3 linked regions of the Danio rerio genome follow. The protein of the gene in region 1 purifies or fractionates together with the protein of each later gene. This does not show direct contact. Links are inferred from orthologs where the notes say so. Each region holds a gene or a part of one and is shown in the gene's direction. Other genes may lie near its edges.

The links.
Region 2: the proteins of fbxl17 (region 1) and zbtb10 purify together in Homo sapiens (affinity purification with western blotting; 3 studies listed by BioGRID and IntAct, with this or other methods). This does not show direct contact. The link is inferred for Danio rerio from reciprocal best matches to the Homo sapiens genes FBXL17 and ZBTB10.
Region 3: the proteins of fbxl17 (region 1) and zbtb18 purify together in Homo sapiens (co-immunoprecipitation; 3 studies listed by BioGRID and IntAct, with this or other methods). This does not show direct contact. The link is inferred for Danio rerio from reciprocal best matches to the Homo sapiens genes FBXL17 and ZBTB18.

Annotation. Positions count from the first base shown.
Region 1 is NC_133183.1:2,020,245-2,024,879, forward strand, and holds the end of fbxl17 (F-box/LRR-repeat protein 17), read left to right. Parts: intron 1-3,274; coding exon 3,275-3,412; 3' UTR 3,413-3,973; downstream 3,974-4,635. UniProt on the Homo sapiens protein: Substrate-recognition component of the SCF(FBXL17) E3 ubiquitin ligase complex, a key component of a quality control pathway required to ensure functional dimerization of BTB domain-containing proteins (dimerization quality control, DQC).
Region 2 is NC_133194.1:34,342,163-34,348,925, reverse strand, and holds the start of zbtb10 (zinc finger and BTB domain-containing protein 10), read left to right. Parts: upstream 1-2,894; 5' UTR 2,895-2,967; coding exon 2,968-3,309; intron 3,310-6,763. UniProt on the Homo sapiens protein: May be involved in transcriptional regulation.
Region 3 is NC_133188.1:11,855,382-11,862,323, forward strand, and holds the start of zbtb18 (zinc finger and BTB domain-containing protein 18), read left to right. Parts: upstream 1-3,073; 5' UTR 3,074-3,255; coding exon 3,256-3,268; intron 3,269-5,202; coding exon 5,203-6,830; 3' UTR 6,831-6,942.

The DNA of each region.
Region 1 (4,635 bases):
ACTGCAGCAGATCGTCTTGACCATGTCTACATGCCTAAATGCAGTGAGTTGCTCCTATGGCTAAATATGAAATAAAGCTGATTTGAGATCAGTATTTTGATATTTGATCTGTAAATACTTTGCAGCAGATGTCATCATACACTTAAACTCCATGAGGTGTGTGTGTGTACCTATGTGTGTGTGTGCGTATGTGTGGGTCCCTGTGTGTCTATCTGTGCATGTGTGTGTGTGTGCATGTATGTGTGTGTGCATGTATGTGTGTGTGTGTGCGTGTGTGTGTGTGTGTGCATGTATGTGTGTGTGTTTGTGTGTGTGTGTGTGTGTGTGTGTGATTACAGCAGGTCATGTGAGATGTTCACCTTCAGTCTGCATGTGATTCACACACTTGACATTGTAGATGATGAAGGTTTGGCCTGGATCCCTGCGGTGATTATCTCACGCAGAACATGTGCAGCGTCTGTGTTTCATCACAGCCGCTCGCTTTCAAGTGCACATCAGATCCAGCGCTGTGTGTGTGTGTTTGTGTGTGTCTGTGTGTGTGTGTGTGCATGCATTTGTGCGTGCGTGTGTGTGCATGTGTGTGTGTGTGTGTGTGTGTGTGTGTGTGTGTGTGTGTGTGTCTGATATCAACATGTAGAGCTCTACACTGCAAACAGCCATCATCCTCAGTGTTTCAGTCTGGCTCTACATAGAAAAGTTTTTAATAAGAGACATTTGCTCAAGAAGCAGGAGACTTATTATGCAGAGATCACTTCTATAAGGGGTTTAACCCCAGTTGTGTGTCAGCAGTGTGTGAATATCTCCAGCCTCTAATGGTCAACATGAATTAATTGTGTTTGTTATAATCAGACTTGATGAATGAAACTCTTTGATTAACATTCTGCCTTTGTACGTGTCATCAGATGGGGAAAGCCCCGCCCACTAGTGCCCATCTCTCCCTTATTAACATAAACAGCAGCCCTGAGTGAGAAGCAGTCGTCTGTCCATTAGAGTGTTTGACAGGCCCGGCGCTACGGGGGGGCAAAGGGTGGCTTTGCCCCCTCAGAAAGAGTTTGTGCCCCCCCCAGTTTTCATAAAAGATTGTTCACTCAAACTGAAAATTCTTTCTGTCATTAAATATTAACACTCCCGTAGTTCCAACCTTCAGAACACACATTTAAATATTTTAAAATATATGACATAGCAATTGAATTATGAAAATGGTGAGATTAAAGCTAGTCCTATAGTCCAGAGATCGGGTCCCCGCGTCAGGTCAGGTGCGCCCGTAAATAGCCTTTAAAACGCGCACACGGCGATGGAGGCGCACTCAACTCACAAGGGAGAAAATGGGTGACATGATAGGAGCAGCTTAATTCATTACATGCTTTGGTTAACTAATTATTTAAACAACTCTCTTGAGCTCTAAAAGGCAAAATCACATTTTTTTTTGCTGTTAAATTTGCTGTTAAATTAATTTTAGCAGAGACGCAACTGCCAGTCATTTATTAGTTATTCGGGAAGATGTAGCCTAATAAAAATGTTTTAATAAAAACAAATAGTTTACTGCACAGTCCCACAGTAGGCTACACTATAAATAATATTTTAATTTATTTATTAATATTATTATTAATATTATTACAATTAAGCCAAAATTGACAAAACGCAGAACCCTTTAAAAGTTTGCTTTCATTTTGCTGAAAAGTGCACTTTTACAGTTGTGTAGAGAAACATCCCATTATGCAGCAGCAGTCAAGCTATAACACATAATAAATGCCTTTTGGGTTTAAAGATGATCGGCCTGCGAAGTCAAGTTTGCAGTGTTATAAATGGAATAGGTATAGTGCTTAAGTGGATTTACCACGGATCAACCGAGAAACCTCGTGCGCTGCAGGGAGGCAGAATGATAATCTTTTAAAAATATGTCATTTAGGCTATACTGCTATTTGCTCATGCAAAATTAAACAACATACAATATATTGTAGATCTATTTTAAGAGCTAAAATACAACATATCGAGTTTGTTTTGACTTGTAACTCATGGCCCTAAAATGAAAATAACCTGAAAACAAGTTATTAAAAAAAGGCTTAATAAATAAAATAATTAATAAATAAAATTACGGGTAAGCCAGTAACCTAATGGTTTATGATGGTTTACAATATATCACGAAAAAAGCACACTTATGATAGCCTAAGATAAATCTTTGTTTTTACATTTAAAATGATTTAAAAAATAAAATAAAGTTATATAGCCTGAGTTGCGTGTTATCCGTGCCAAAATTTAACCAATTTTCACAGTAATAACATGTGAATTTTGGTATCTTTTTAGGTATTTTTCTGGCTACACTAATGCCTTAAAATGTAACTAAGTAAATGTTTTAAATGACATTAGATTGTAACATTTAGCTTTTCCCTAACACTGATGTTGGTTGGATAATATAGGAAGCGGGATGACTCGGTTAAGCTGATTTCACTATATTTATTTACCGGTTAAATTAATAGTCTGTTCGTGGGTCAGCTTGCATGTGTGGGCATAATTTGACGTCTTTACCTAAAACTTTAAACATTCATAGGCCTGTTATTTGATTTTGAAATAAAACGAAAATAAGGAGAATAACATGATTTAAAGCACTCGTTTGGCACTGAAGCCATCATCCGTCTGCATTAATAAGCGGTATGCATTACCATCGTTAATAAAATTCGTCATAGCGAAACTGCATATTGTTATTACTATTAAAACGTAGCCTATATTACTGCCTTAGGTCAGTAGCTTAGGCAGTAATGCAAAGTAAAAATAAATGTGAATAAATAGCCTAAATGAAAGAAACAAGAGACCAAAATCAGTCACCAGGTCTAGTGCCCCCCCTATGGATTTAAAGTGCCCCCTCAGTTTTGACTACCTGGCGCCGGGCCTGGTGTTTGAGCTGCTGAAGATAATGTCAGCATAGACTAAGAGGATTATAGATGTGGAGTTTTAGATGACAGGAGTCTCCATAGACTGACAGAAGCATGAACACACACTCACACTGAAGCGCACATGCACACCTGACAACACACACACACTGCTGTTTTACAGCTGCCACTATGATGATGCACAGGTGTCTGTAGCTCCGCCCTCTTCTCAAAAGAGCACAATCTCATTTGCATTTAAAGTGACAGTCACCAAAACACCACAATTAGGATTAAAGCCTGAAAGGGTCAGTTTCAGAGAGCTGTTGTGTGCCACAGTTGAGTTGTGTGCTATAATTCTGACTAATTCCTAAACTGTGTGTCTGTGTGTGTTTGTTTTTCTGTTGCAGGTGAACGAGGAGACAGTGGAGAGACTGGTGCTGCAGTATCCACACATTGTGTTCAGTACGGTGATGCAGGACTGTAAGAGAACACTGGAGAGAGCCTATCAGATGGGCTGGAGCCCCAACACGTCCAGCGCGTCCTAACACACACACACACACACACACACACACACACACACACAAACACACATGCATATATACACATACACAAACACATATATGCGCACACATAGATGCACACAAACACACATACTGTACACACACACACCTGTTCATGACGCCGCTGCAGATTCACTATCATAACTATGCCGTTTATTCCGCCTTCCTTTATCAACATTATGCATCTGAAACATTCACCGCTGTCAAACATGTTCACATGATTCTGCATTTATTTACCAGATTCAGAAACACACCCGGCTCATATTTCTCTCTGAAATCAGGAGAAGGACATGCTGATGGGGTTTTTGCGTGATGAACACTGTTTTTGGACCACAGGATTTTTGCATTTGGACATTTCCATGCAGCTCTCATTATTGCCACGCATCTGGACATTTGACTTTAGTGATTTGTTTGTTACTCTCATCATCATCAGAGGTGATTTTCATTGCTTTCCCATTACTGAAACACACTTGAGTTTTGCCGGAGTAAACAAATACTTAAGTGATGTTGTTATCATTTTTAGCTATTAAAATATTGTTAAATCAGTATATGTGTTTGAGAACCTAAATAGTTTATTTAAAACAACAATAATAATAATAATAATAATAATAATACAAATAAAAATGTTAAAACATGTGGAAATCTGCTAATCGGGGTAAAAAAAAATGAACATTGATTTAAGATTATTTTTTGGACCCGTCGGCTACATTTTTGTTCTTGTTATGCATTATTGGATTCATTTTTGTAAATAAATAAAAATAAAAAATAAAAATAAACACTAAAAATATTTTAGTGTGTACTTGCACTGCGAAAAAAAAGGGTTTAATTATTATTATTATTATTATTATTTAATATTATTATTATTAGTTTTGCTTGTTTTATATGCTCTCAAATCAAGACACATTATATAAAGGAACAAACTTGCTGTTTTTTATTCTATATAAAGTTGAAATAAATAAATAAATAAAAATTAAGTGCATGCTTAAAACAAGAAGAAATCCAGAAAAAAAGATAGTTTTTCCTAATTGTCAGCTTGAAGTCTAATCATTCAAGTTTAATCTTAAAGAAATGCTGGAGTAATATTATTATCATCATCACACAGCATAATATATTATCATGTATCTTATTATTAGATCACACATACAACATTTTTGGAGGAATAAATAAAAATTGAGTGGGACCAAGGCATTTGACCATTCATAATTGAT
Region 2 (6,763 bases), on another chromosome or scaffold:
TTTATTGCGATGTATTTGTTGAGTGTGCACATGATTGGATGGGTGTTGACCCCCCATCCATCTTTACGTGGACATATAACAATTAAGAAATAATTAAAAATTATTTAACACCTGGGCGAGGCAGTGGCGCAGTAGGTAGTGCTGTCGCGTCACAGCAAGAAGGTCGCTGGTTCGAACCTCGGCTCAGTTGGCATTTCTGTGTGGAGTTTGCATGTTCTCCCTACCTACGCGTGGGTTTCCTCCGGGTGCTCCGGTTTCCCCCAGAGTCAAGACAGGTGAATTGGGTAGCCTAAATTGTCCGTAGGGTGTGAATGTGTGTGTGGATGTTTCCCAGAGATTGGTTGCGGCTGCACCCACTGCGTACAAACTTGCTGGATAAATTGGCGGTTCATTCTGCTGTGGCGACCTCTGATTAATAAAGGGACTTAGCCGACAAGAAAGTGAATGAATGAATTTAACACCTTCAAGATATTTCAGTAAGTTTAAGACTTTTTAAGACCCTGCAGACACCCTAAATACAATAAATAGGCTACTCATACATTCTAGAGTTCATCATAAATAATATTAAATAAACAAACAACAAATTACACCGTAAAATGTGACATCTGGAGACATACACTGCAAAAAATGCTTCGTACATTTTACTTTAAAAAAATTGAAGCATCAGCCTTTTGAGTGTTTCAAACTCATTTTATTTTAGTTTGTCCTATTAGACTTTACGTGTTCTCAACTTGCACTTTCAAGTAACAATTTTTAGTTTTGGGTTTCTCAAACCAAAAATGTGCTTATTTTGAGTGCATGTATTTGGACTTGTGGGGGAAACCGAACCACCTGGAGGAAACCTACAAAAACATGGGAAAAACATGCAAACTCCACACAGAAACGCCAACTGATCCAGCCAAGGCTTGAACCAGGGACCTTCTTGCTGTGAGGCAATTGTGCTACCCACTGCGCCACCATTGCTGCTGTATTTTTACCATTATTCAGTAAAAATTGAACAGAGCTTTTAAGTAATGGAAACATAATTTTATTATTTTTCAACCTTTATTAAGTATTGAATCCTTTTTAGTTTTCTACATCAAACAATAAACACAAAAATAGTCAAATGCATTTATTAAGTTGAAAATTCTCTTTTTTTAAGTATTACAGAATTTATACCACAATGTTAAAACATCATTTTAACTTTATTTTTTTTAATACTCTGGCAAAGGCTACAACTTTAACCCCTTTAACAGAAGCTATAAATGACAGAGATAATGATAAAGGGTTACCGGTATTGCTCTTTTTAATGTACACTAAAAATATTTTGTATTCCTTATGAAAAAAAGAAAATTGGACACTCTGGCAATTAGTAATCCAAGCCATTTTTTCCAGATCTTCAGCGAATAACACACAATTACCATCCTAATTTCGACATGATAATGGTAATGATTAGCAGGGCTAACAAAAATGAAGTCCTGCTCCTCCATGAGGGTGAGCTCGGAGTTTTTAATTCACCTACAGTCAAACCGGACACGCCCAGAGGAAGCTGCATGCGCTTATAAATCGTCAATCGTGTTATCATGTTTGTAGTGTAGGAAATGACGCCACCCACTGGGTGACAGGCTTTAATAATCCTACAGAAAGTAGCCTATATTCTAATCTAAACAATCAAGGAAATATTCGTCGTTTTTTTTTTTTTTATCTCAAATGGCCCTTCAAATACACCATATGTGATCTTAAATTTGATGTTGTAAAACTGTAAATAGACATGTCTCAGTTTATTTTTTTAAGTTTTAAAATGAAATATGGCGGTTCGTTCCGCTGTGGCGACCCCTGGTAAATCAGGGATTAAGCCTAAAGATGAGAGTGATTATGGTACGAGTTGGAGATAAAATGAATAGATGAATAAAAAAATCATGACAACAACATAAAACTATTTTGACAGTGACAGTGCCTTTTCTTGCATTTTATATAGCTTCGCTGCGATAATGTATTTTAACTATCTGTATTTGTAATACAATGCAGTATTAAAGTTTCCAGATATTTCAAATTGTGTGATGAAATATGTATTAAAAATCAACCAGTGTCAAAACTTGTATATTTAACCATCCACCTCCATTACCACCTGGAAAATACACCTATGCATGCATTCATCGCGAGAAGCTTTTTACTCCAGCGAGTCAGCAGCGACCCACCTGTCCTGATCATCGGGACTCGCGCGACAAACATGGAGCGCCGGCTGTAATGTCACGCGCCGGGGAGGGCGTGAAAGGGATACAAAGACTTATTGGTTCGAGACGTGTAGCCCTTTAGATGAAAAAGCATGCGGAAAATGGGTGCAGTCATCGACACAAAAGACCCCTGGCTGTTCGGCGTCACCCCCATCTTCCTTTAACACGAGCCCCCCCTCCTCCCTCTGACCGAGATGCATTGTGGGGGAAGTCGTTGCCATTCGACCTCTGCGGGGCCTGCGCGGACGCAGACAGAACCCTGAAATTCATTATGCCTTTAAAACCCCTATTTATTTCCGCATAACCTACATACTCTCACCAGGAGGCCGGAGCGCGGAAAAACGGCTCATTTCATGCGGAATACTTTATTTACGAGAGCCGCGATCGGATTTTTGTTTTGTTGAGGAAGTGAAGATTGTAATTTATTTCTAGAAAAATGTCCGGAGAGCGAAACCGCAGGTCGCTGGCTTTCCGAGGAGGTGGATTAGCCGTCACCGGTCCCAGCGCCGTCGGAGGAGGCAGCAACGGCAACAGCTGTGAGGCCCCGGCCTGTCAAGACCGACATTTGAACGGGAACAGACCGGATCAGGAGGACGATCGGGATTTGGGGGCGAAAGGACCATCGCTGGGGAAAGTCGAGGGCGGGGGGTCTGTCAGCGACAGCACGGAGCCGGAGGCAGAGGAGGACGAGGACCCGGAAGGGGGCACTTGGACAGCGGGGAAACATAATGACAGGGGCGTTTTAAACAGCGTAATGCTGAAAACCGAGGGCTGTAAGAAGGCGACTGGCAACGGTGTGAACCGGGAGGACGGGAGCACGGGAGAGGCGGAAGAAACGGCCGCGAGAAAGCCGCTGCTGGAGATGAGACCTCAGACGCTGCTGCAGAAACACTCGCTCTTCCAAGCCTGCTGGCTGGAGGAGTTTCCCTGGCTCAGATTCAGCCACGAAACAGGACTCATGTCTTGCTCCTGGTGCCATAACATCGCCACCAACAACAGCGACGAGTTGGTAAAAGGCAGTCGGAATTACAAGCGGGCCTTGCTGCTGAGACATCACCTGTCCTCGGAGCACGGCAGGAATGACCCGACCAAACAGGTACGTTCGCAGTCTGGTATAACGGGGACACTCGCACCGCCGACGAAGACGAGTTTAAAAGGGTTGTTCCGTGTTTCGTTAACAAACGTCGACGTTTTTATTCCTATTTTAGAGTGGGAATGTTGTTTTCGAAGAGGTTTAGCGAGCTAACAAGTATGTTAGCTATACTCAAGTCGGAGGTAGCAGGTTAGCATGTGTGAGCTAACTGGATCAGCGCTGTCAATTCGTGAGGGGAGCTTAAAACCCTCGACTGCCTCGTTTAAAGTATAAATATTTATCTTAGATGTCATATGCTCATTTAAAGCCTTACAGAAACCATATTGTTTCCTTTTTTACAAGAATTCGTTGTGTGATTGTGTAGGATTTAATACGAGATATCAATTATTAAACAGACCGCAAGTGAGATTGTGACTCAAAATGTTCTCTCTGTTTCCTGCGTTGCACTGTAATTATCAACCCTGGTTACCAGGGTAACTAACCTGATTGCCACAGAGGTCACACAATGGCAAGGGCTTGACCCTGCTACCTTTGGGGAGCCGCACCCCTTCCCAACCCCCTCGCTGTAAAAAGTGACCTCTGGCACATCTCACCCTCCCCTTTTAGGGCATCTAAATTAGAGGCATTGTGTTAGGTGACTCCCCAAGATCCATAGATAGTGTGTGTCATTTGCTACATTGGACTGGAGTGAATTATGTCGCCTGTAAGGACAGCAATGCCTGATACGTGCAGACCACTGCAATGAGCAGAATGAGATTAGACTCGAAGTCATATCACACCAGAACAATGTTCTATTGGTCATTTGCTCGTATAATGCACTGCAAAAGTGAAATTTGATTCATATTTCTTCTGTCTTCTATACCCGGAGGAGATGTCGTTTAAGATAAATTGTTATTGATCAATATTTGTAATGCTTCAGATTCCATGTGCTCTATCAAGCCACAGAATGACTGATTCAAATACTTAATTCCACCCAGAAGATGCCGTGTTATTGGTTTGCCTGTGAAATCCCTTAAGGATTGCGTGGTATGATAACGTCCAGTCTGTCTAATCAGGGTGACACAAAGTGTTCCACTAACTCAATTTATACCCCTCACTAATTAGGAAGGAAAGGAGGAGGAGATTACCACTGACTCCCTAGCAACACGGGGTTAAGACGCTCCAGCAGATCTGAACCCTGTAACACTTTCCTGTTCGCTCACTTTGAAGTGACCTCTGTCAGTCAACCTTTTCACAGTACTGTTTCTGTTGTATTGAGTTGAATGTGTTATAAATGTGCAAAAATACACACATCGCACAGAAAACTTGGCATATTGTCTGACATCGATTGTGCGTATTAAAGCTCTGTAGATCTATCTATCTATCTATCTATCTATCTATCTATCTATCTATCTATCTATCTATCTATCTATCTATCTATCTATCTATCCCAAGTACTATAGACAAATTAAAAATGTTTGTCTGTTTCTCCTATACTATACTAATTCCATCCATCCATCCATCCATTAATTAGTAAATATCCCAAATACTATAGACAAATTCTATCTATCTATCTATCTATCTATCTATCTATCTATCTATCTATCTATCTATCTATCTATCTATCTATCTATCTATCATTACTAAATATCCCAAATACTATAGACAAATTATAAATGTTTGTCTGTTTCTCCTATACTATGCTAATTCCATCCATCCATCCATCCATCCATCCATCCATCCATCCATCCATCCATCCATCCATTAGTAAATATCCCAAATACTATAGACAAATACTAAAGATGTCTATCTATCTATCTATCTATCTATCTATCTATCTATCTATCTATCTATCTATCTATCTATCTATCTATCTATCTATCTATCTATCTATCTATCTATCTATCTATCTATCTATCTATCCCAAGTACTATAGACAAATTATAAATGTTTGTCTGTTTCTCCTATACTATACTAATTCCATCCATCCATCCATCCATCCATCCATCCATCCATTAGTAAATATCCCAAATACTATAGACAAATTATAAATGTTTGTTTCTCCTATACTACACTAAATCCACCCACCCACCCACCCATCCATCCATCCACCCAACGATCCATCCATCCTCCCACCCATCCTCCCACCCATCCATCCATCCATCCATCCATCCATCCATCCATCCATCCATCCATCCATCCATCCATCCATCCATCCATCCATCATTAGTAAATATCCCAAATACTATAGACAAATTATATCTATCTTATCTATCTATCTATCTATCTATCTATCTATCTATCTATCTATCTATCTATCTATCTATCTATCTATCTATCTATCTATCTATCTATCTATCTATCTATCTATCTATCTATCTATCTATCTATCATTACTAAATATCCCAAGTACTATAGACAAATTATAAATGTTTGTCTGTTTTCCTATACTATACTAATTCCATCCATCCATCCATCCATTAGTAAATATCCCAAATACTATAGACAAATTCTATCTATCTATCTATCTATCTATCTATCTATCTATCTATCTATCTATCTATCTATCTATCTATCTATCTATCTATCTATCTATCTATCTATCTATCTATCTATCTATCTATCTATCTATCTATCTATCTATCTATCTATCATTACTAAATATCCCAAGTACTATAGACAAATTATAAATGTTTGTCTGTTTTCCTATACTATACTAATTCCATCCATCCATCCATCCATTAGTAAATATCCCAAATACTATAGACAAATTCTATCTATCTATCTATCTATCTATCTATCTATCTATCTATCTATCTATCTATCTATCTATCTATCTATCTATCTATCTATCTATCTATCTATCTATCTATCTATCTATCTATCTATCTATCTATCTATCTATCTAGTTATGATTTACTTTTGTCAAAAAGTGTGTGATAGCTGACAGGAAGACCACAATATCTTGGAAGAATAGCATCTGTCTTAAAGTGGGCTGTGCAGAACATTAGGCTGTCTGAGTAGAGAGAGACTTTTCTGGTAGGCCACATCCTCCAATAGCCAATTTCATAATTGTGATCCATTATGTTTTTCAGTGCAGCGACTGTCCGTCATAATGGGCTAAATTTCTTCACTGGTCCATATCAAGCTCCTGTAATTTAATTAGCCCTAAAGCAGGGTATCTGGGATGCCTCATTCTCCTGTCTGGACTTAAAACTATTTGCCCTTTCTTCCAGTTATTAGTGAGCTCCAATGAAGACGAGGGTCTCCACCCCAGTGCTGTCTGCCGCTCTGAGATATGTGTGTATTGGGTCAGGGGGGGTTGTTGTGGTGGCGTTGTTGTTGTTGGTGCTGGTGGGGGAGAATTCCCTGGAATTTTGTATCGATGAGCCCTGCTCTTTGTTGGGAGGCCCAGATTCTGGCATTCCCCTCCCACACCTTGGGTCAAGCACACTGCTGCATTGTTCATGCATCTGGA
Region 3 (6,942 bases), on another chromosome or scaffold:
TTTTCTTTTCATGTTCTGCTTTTTAATATTTTTTTTTACATAGGCCTAATACAATACAATCTAACTCATTGCCTAAGGACAAATATTGTGTATTTCTTCCATTACTCATTATTATATTTATGTATTTATTTTTCTAGTTATTACTTTGTGTTTATTTATTTGTTCGTTTCTTTTATTCTTTCTTTCTTTCTTCATTTATTTATTTATCTCATCCATGAGTTCATCGCTTATGGTGCATTATTTTCCTTCTCATTCTATATCTATCTATCTATCTATCTATCTATCTATCTATCTATCTATCTATATATATATATATCCTGCTTTTTAATATTATTTTACATAGGCCTAATACAATAACACAATGTACTTCATTGCTTAAGAAAGACTATTGTCTTTTTCTTCCATCATTCGTAATCTTATCCAGTTATGTTTCTAGTTATTTATTTGTGTTTATTTATTCATTCATTCATTTTCCTTTGGCTTAGTCCTTTTATTAATCATGGGTCACCACAGCGGAATGAACCGCCAACTTATCCAACATATGTTTTACACAACGGATGCCCTTCCAGCTGCAACCCAGTACAGTGGGTTGCAGTGTTTATTTATTTATATATTTATTTGTGTTTGATTTTTTTCATCTGTAGGCCATATACGCATTATAATTTAATCTAGAACAATGTAAAATGAATAAAGATGAACAACTTCAAATTGAGTTGATGTGCTCTCTTATTTTAAAAAGCGTGTAATGCTGTTTGTCTGCGGATGAAATGGCAATAAAATTCGCATTAAATCTCGCAATTAGAGCTAGGAAACCCATTGGCAGTATTTCAGATAATAATCATTATCATTTCCAACAATAATTATTATTCCATATAATAATAATAATTGTTATTATTATTCATCCACTTGAGGACCTATTTTGTACGATAAATATTTGAAGATTATGAACACTAGGGCTTACTTTTGAAACATGTTACTTTTTATTTTATTCAATTGTAAATAATTTCGGCGCTCGGCTAATATCGTCTGTCTGTTTCTCATTTGCAATATTATTTCAAGGGGCCATATCGTTCTCCACTAGCCATGTGACTACCTCTGTGTGTGTGCGTGTGTGTCCGCGGCTCTGGAGGAAGTTGCAGTGCACCTGTTCTCCACCGCTGCTCTGCCCGTGACTACAGTACCCACGTAACATTGCGCAATGTCCCTCGATCCGCGCGCTGCGCCAGTCTGCTCGAGGAACCCGTCCGTTCGCTCGCTCGGCCTTTTTTTCTGCTTTCTCACTGTTGCCTGGTGTCAACCTACGCCGAGAAAGAGACATCCCTCCCTCTTCCCCCCTCAGCGGCAGCTTCCAATTTGCCTTCGCTTTTCTTTTCGCCTCTTCCATTGGCTTGCGCGCTGCCAGTCAAGCGCTTCCTCTTTACCGGAGAGTTGAGTAGCAACAGCTCGGAAACATCTGGCTGCCGCAGCTCTCTCGTCGCTCCGCTCGCCCGCTCCGTCTTTCCTGCCACTGCAGGTTGTTATGGAAAGCAGTTGAAAGTCAATCGAGTTGTTTTTCTCGCTGAGAGGATTAGACGGAGGAAGCAGGAAGACGTTGGACCTGGCTGCCTGTAAGTGCCTGTGATACGAGGTGCTCTTTAAGGAGATGAAAAGGGGGTTGGAGAACGGGCTGGATTGTTATGGGGAAAAGTAGCGATCTTTTTCACGCGACTGTTGTTGGTCTTGACGCGCAGAATGAGTTGCTCGAGCGCGTGGCATCGGGGCCTGCCGCAAAACTGTAACACTGCAGGTTGAAGGCTTACTTTTTATTTGTTAGCCACGCAAGCTAGCTTTTCCTGAACGTACGGGGTCAGGATCCAGAGAAAGACCGTCGGCAGTGCGCTGTGTGTGAGTGTGTTTGTGTAGGAGTAGCCTGCTATAATACCATATCCTACCCAGGTGGACTCGTACTTTGTTTTATTCTAGCGTCTTTTTGTTTGTTGTAATATGTTTTAAGTTTTAGAATGGCTAACTAGGCACCATTCGGTCTTTCTGGAGAACTTCCCAGGTTTGGAAACTATTTTGCTTTGACGTGTCATTGTACAAAACAAGTTTCTTTGCAAAGTTATATCTTTATGTTAACCAATTTCTTTGTAAATCTGTAAAGTGTTGTTTATTATTATAACTAAGCAGTGATGGTGGTTTTCCTGAAATAAAAAAAGCTCCTGTTAATTGTTTAAAATCCCCTGAGAGCAAGTGTAATGCACGTGACAGATGCAGTGAACTCTTCAGTTTTGTATTATTTGTGCATATCAGTGAGTTGTTTGTATTCATGAGTGTGACATCCTTCAGAAGAGACCTTCACATTGTCGTTGCATATCTTTGTTTTGCTGATTTTTGTGGTAAACAGGAAACTGTTGTTTGGCTCGTACCAAAGAAGTTGAACAGAAATGAGCAAGATACTTGGGAAGAAAGGAGTTTTGTAAGTGCTTAAGCGGAATACAGTGGCTTTTGTTTGAACCGTACTTATAAGGCCCGTATGATTGTTCCCATTGTTTCTTATTTCTTTTTTCCCCCTCCTCTGTCAGTTGTCCAAAGGGTTAGTAAAATGAATGACGGTAATGGCGCGGCCAGTGAACCATAAAGAAGTCGAAAACAATATCAGCTGCGTGGATCTGTCAGTTGCAAATGTGCTGTGCTGGCCTTTGTTTATGGTTACTGGAAGGAGAGGGGGGAAGAAAAAAAAACTTGAGGGTATTTAAATTCTCAGTGCAGGAAACTAGGTTAGAAAAAAGTGTCGGCTTTCAGACGGACCCATTTCCAAGTTCTTCTTTGCTGAGAGATTACAACCGAAGGGGGGAATTGGCTAGTTTTCTACAGAATCACCTCACAACACTTCCCTTCCTCCCGTTTTTTTAAAGGGGGAAAGAGAAACAAAGTTGTATAAAGGAGAGGCTGGTGGCAAGAGTGTAGAGGAGTAGCATATGGCACTAAAAGGAGCACAGCTGGAGGTAGCATTTCCATCTGAACATGATGTCAGAGCAGCTGACAGGCTGCCATCCCCCAGTCTTTTCTTCTAACGCACAGACTGGGAGTTAGTGTGTGTGCGGATCTGTGTGCAGGAGGAGGCATCGCATTCCCCTCCAACATCTCCTCCACTTTGCATCTGTCCCTCACAGTTTGATTTTCTCTCTCTTTCTTTCGCGTCTCTACCCTTTCATTGATTCGGCGGAGGGAGTTACAGCCGGCGCTACCACAACTGTGGACTTAATCAAGTTGATGCGTACTGCAGGTACTGTACCGGGGGGTCCAGGCAACAGGGATGTGTTTTGAATAGGGAGCTCTCGTTAAGTCTTTTTGCCATCAGAGTGTGCGCAAATGGGAAGTAAAGGATTTCGAGCTGGTGTGGTGTAACCAGGCTGGGGACAAGTGACACTTTTTGTTGCCATGAAGAGGTTTCCAGGCAAGCGTTTCATTATTCTGTTTGTTTACGGCTCTTCTTTTCAGTCACTTCTCAGTCTCGGTGGCAAATTGTTGCTCTGCTGTGACCGCATACAGTTGTGTTGTCGGTAGGTTAGTTAGTTATTATAGCATTATTGATTTAAAACAAGAAAATCTTGTGTGTTTGTGTGCTGTTAATCCGTTAAAATCTGTTTTTACTTTAAATGGCGAGATTTGAACAAAATTCTTAATCTTCTAAAAGCGGCTGAAATGCTATAAATCCGCAAATGTTCTTCGAAATGTCCCATCGTCAGGCTTTTGCTCAACTCTTTCCTTTTTTTCCCTGTTTGTAAGGACTAATTTAGAACTTGCAGATTTGAGCTGCCTGAATTGGCTAGACAGCTGTAATCGCACTCCTCCTAGTCTTAATCTCTTTATCTGGGCAGCAGCTGCCATATGGTCTCAGTCAGCTGGATCAGATGTTCATAAGCCTCCTTCTCCGTCCCTCTCTGTCCTCCCAGTCTCCTAATTTGATCGCTGCTACCTTGTGAGCTGTCCTGCAATCTTTATTTTTAGCCATCTTAAGGATTAGGATTGATGTAGACTACGGGGCACTTAAAGTGATTGTATTGTAAATCTGCTGTGGACCGCCTCTTTGGGGAGGATGTTCCATTTCTCCAAAGATTTGGGGAGGGGTAAAGGGGGAGGAGATGGTTGGCGAGAGGTTTGTTATCCCCCTGTCCCCCTATAAGCCCCTCATTAATGAAGGTCTGAACGCTGTTTGGGGTGGGGTGGGGGGGCTTTGGCTTGCTATCCCAATCAGATTTAAATGAAGATTCAAAGGAGTTCATTTAAGTCCGTTGGTTGAACATGACGCTGGTGCATTTTTTTAGACAGGAACCAACTCCAGGGGTAACAGGTGTGATTTCCAGGTTCTTTTCTCTTTAGTTTTAATTTGAACATTTTTTGTTTTTTATTATTTGTCTGTAAAAAAAAAAAATATTGTGCAATCTAGTTTGTATTTTATTTTCAGGCGGTCTGCGTTTGATTATGCCCGTCACGCTAATATTCTGATACCTCAATTGTCGTAACCTTAGAGATCATGGTACTTAGTATACTTATTCAGTGTGCCTATGATGGTGAGCTGTTTGTGTACCTGTAAGCCTGTTACCTATACTTGGCGTCCTGGCCAAAGTGGGTTATTATAAATAACTGCTCCAGGAGCACAGCGAGGGGAAAAAACAGGAAAGATTCTCTCGCGCAGGCATCTGTGGAATCAGGACTTCAGCTCCTTACATCACGCCATCTGATTATACTCGAGTGATTGGGATGGGATGTGCATGGCTCGATTGCTTTAAATGTAATTTTCGATACAAATATTTTTATTGGCATGTTTGTTTTAATTTCCCAGTTCTCATGCGATTTAAACTTTTAATTAAAAGGGTTAGTGCGAAATGCAATATTAAACACAGCACTGCATACTTGAAAGTGCACAAGTGAGGAAAATACAATTAGCATAATATATAAACCGTGATTTTATACTTATTGCATGTGCTTTTTTGTAATCCTTTTATGTCAGGACTGTGGTGAACATTTTTCCAGTGTTCCCACAGGGGTGGAGGGAGGGAGGGAGAATTAGAGTGTGTGAGAGTATGTCTGTGTGCATGGAGCGAGAGAGGGAGAGAGAGGGACGGAGCGGGTGGGAAAGAGAGAAGTTCCACACAGAGCACAGACAAAACAATTGTTGTTCTAGCGAGCCTCACTAACATCTGTGGTCTTTTGCAGGTTATGAAGACAGCATGGAGTTTCCAGACCACAGCAGACATTTGCTACAGTGTCTGAGTGAGCAGAGGCATCAGGGATTCCTTTGTGACTCCACTGTGCTGGTCGGTGATGCCCAGTTCCGAGCCCATCGTGCAGTGCTGGCTTCATGCAGCATGTACTTCCACCTCTTTTACAAGGACCAGCTAGACAAAAGGGACATTGTTCATCTGAACAGCGACATTGTCACAGCCCCGGCCTTCGCTCTCCTGCTTGAGTTCATGTACGAAGGAAAGCTGCAGTTTAAATCACTTCCAGTGGAAGATGTGCTGGCTGCTGCCAGCTACCTCCACATGTATGATATCGTCAAGGTGTGCAAGAAGAAGCTCAAGCAGAAGGCCACGGCTGAGGCTGACAGCACCAAGCGGGAAGAGGACACGTCCAGCTGCTCGGACAAGGTGGAGAGTTTCTCAGAAGGTGGAAGCACGGGCCGGCCCGCAACTGCTGACCTGCTGCAGAGCGATGATGAGGACATGGAGAACAAGCGGGACAGCCCTCAGGAGCCAGGGAGCATGTGGATGCGACTGCCTTCCGACCGGACCACGTCTCCCACCACCAGCCCCAGGGAGGCAGAAACGCATGGTCCTGATGCTGGCAAATCCCCTGCCGGCAGCCCCAGCAGCTCTTCTGGCTCTCTGTCCCGTCGCTCTGCAGCATCTCGGAGAGTCTCTGCTGACACTGATTGTGTGCTTGACCTCTCTGTGAAATCGAGCCTTGGTGGAGGTCCTGGGGAGAACATTGCTGGCAACCCTTACTTCTGCAGCTCTGTGACCCCTGACAGCCTCCAGAGTGCCCTGGTTCAAGTGAAGGTGGAAAAGGACACCGGCTCCGACGATGATGAACTGGTGAGCGGTGACTATGAGATGGAGCACAGTGGTGTGAAGGAGCCACCCAGCACCAACGGGACCCACCTCAGCCTTGTTGCGCAGCGGAGGCTGGGCCTGGAAGCTCATCTCTCGGCTCTGCGCGAGGCCTCGCTGGCCAGTGAGCTTGAGCGGGACGACAAAGGAGGCGATGATGACACAGATGTCCTCGGCGGAGACAGTGATCGAGTGCAGGAGGCTGCGGGAGTCGAGAGCTCCCTGTTGCCTTATGTCTCCAGCATGCTGGGGGCACCACATACCCAGATCTTCATGTGCCCCTTATGCAACAAGGTCTTTCCCAGCCCCCATATCCTGCAAATCCACCTCAGCACACATTTTCGTGAACAGGAAGGCGTACGGGCCAAGCCGGCAGGCGACGTCAACGTCCCCACATGCTCCATCTGTGGCAAAACCTTCTCCTGCATGTACACGTTAAAACGCCACGAGAGGACACACTCAGGCGAGAAGCCCTACACTTGCACTACTTGCGGCAAGAGCTTCCAGTACTCACACAACCTGAGCCGGCATGCCGTCGTGCACACACGCGAGAAGCCGCATGCTTGCAAGTGGTGCGAGCGGCGCTTCACACAGTCAGGGGACTTGTATCGACACATCCGCAAGTTCCACTGCGAACTGGTCAACTCGCTCTCGGTTAAGAGCGAGGCGCTCAATCTACCCACGGTCAGAGACTGGGCACTGGAAGATAGTTCTCAAGAACTGTGGAAATGAATGCTAAAATGATTGCAGACTGTTTGAACTGCTTGTTAATTTAATAAGAGATCTGAGTGGCATTTTTGGGGGCAGAAAGGTGAAGGTAAGAGTGGGAAGGAGTGACGGCCGA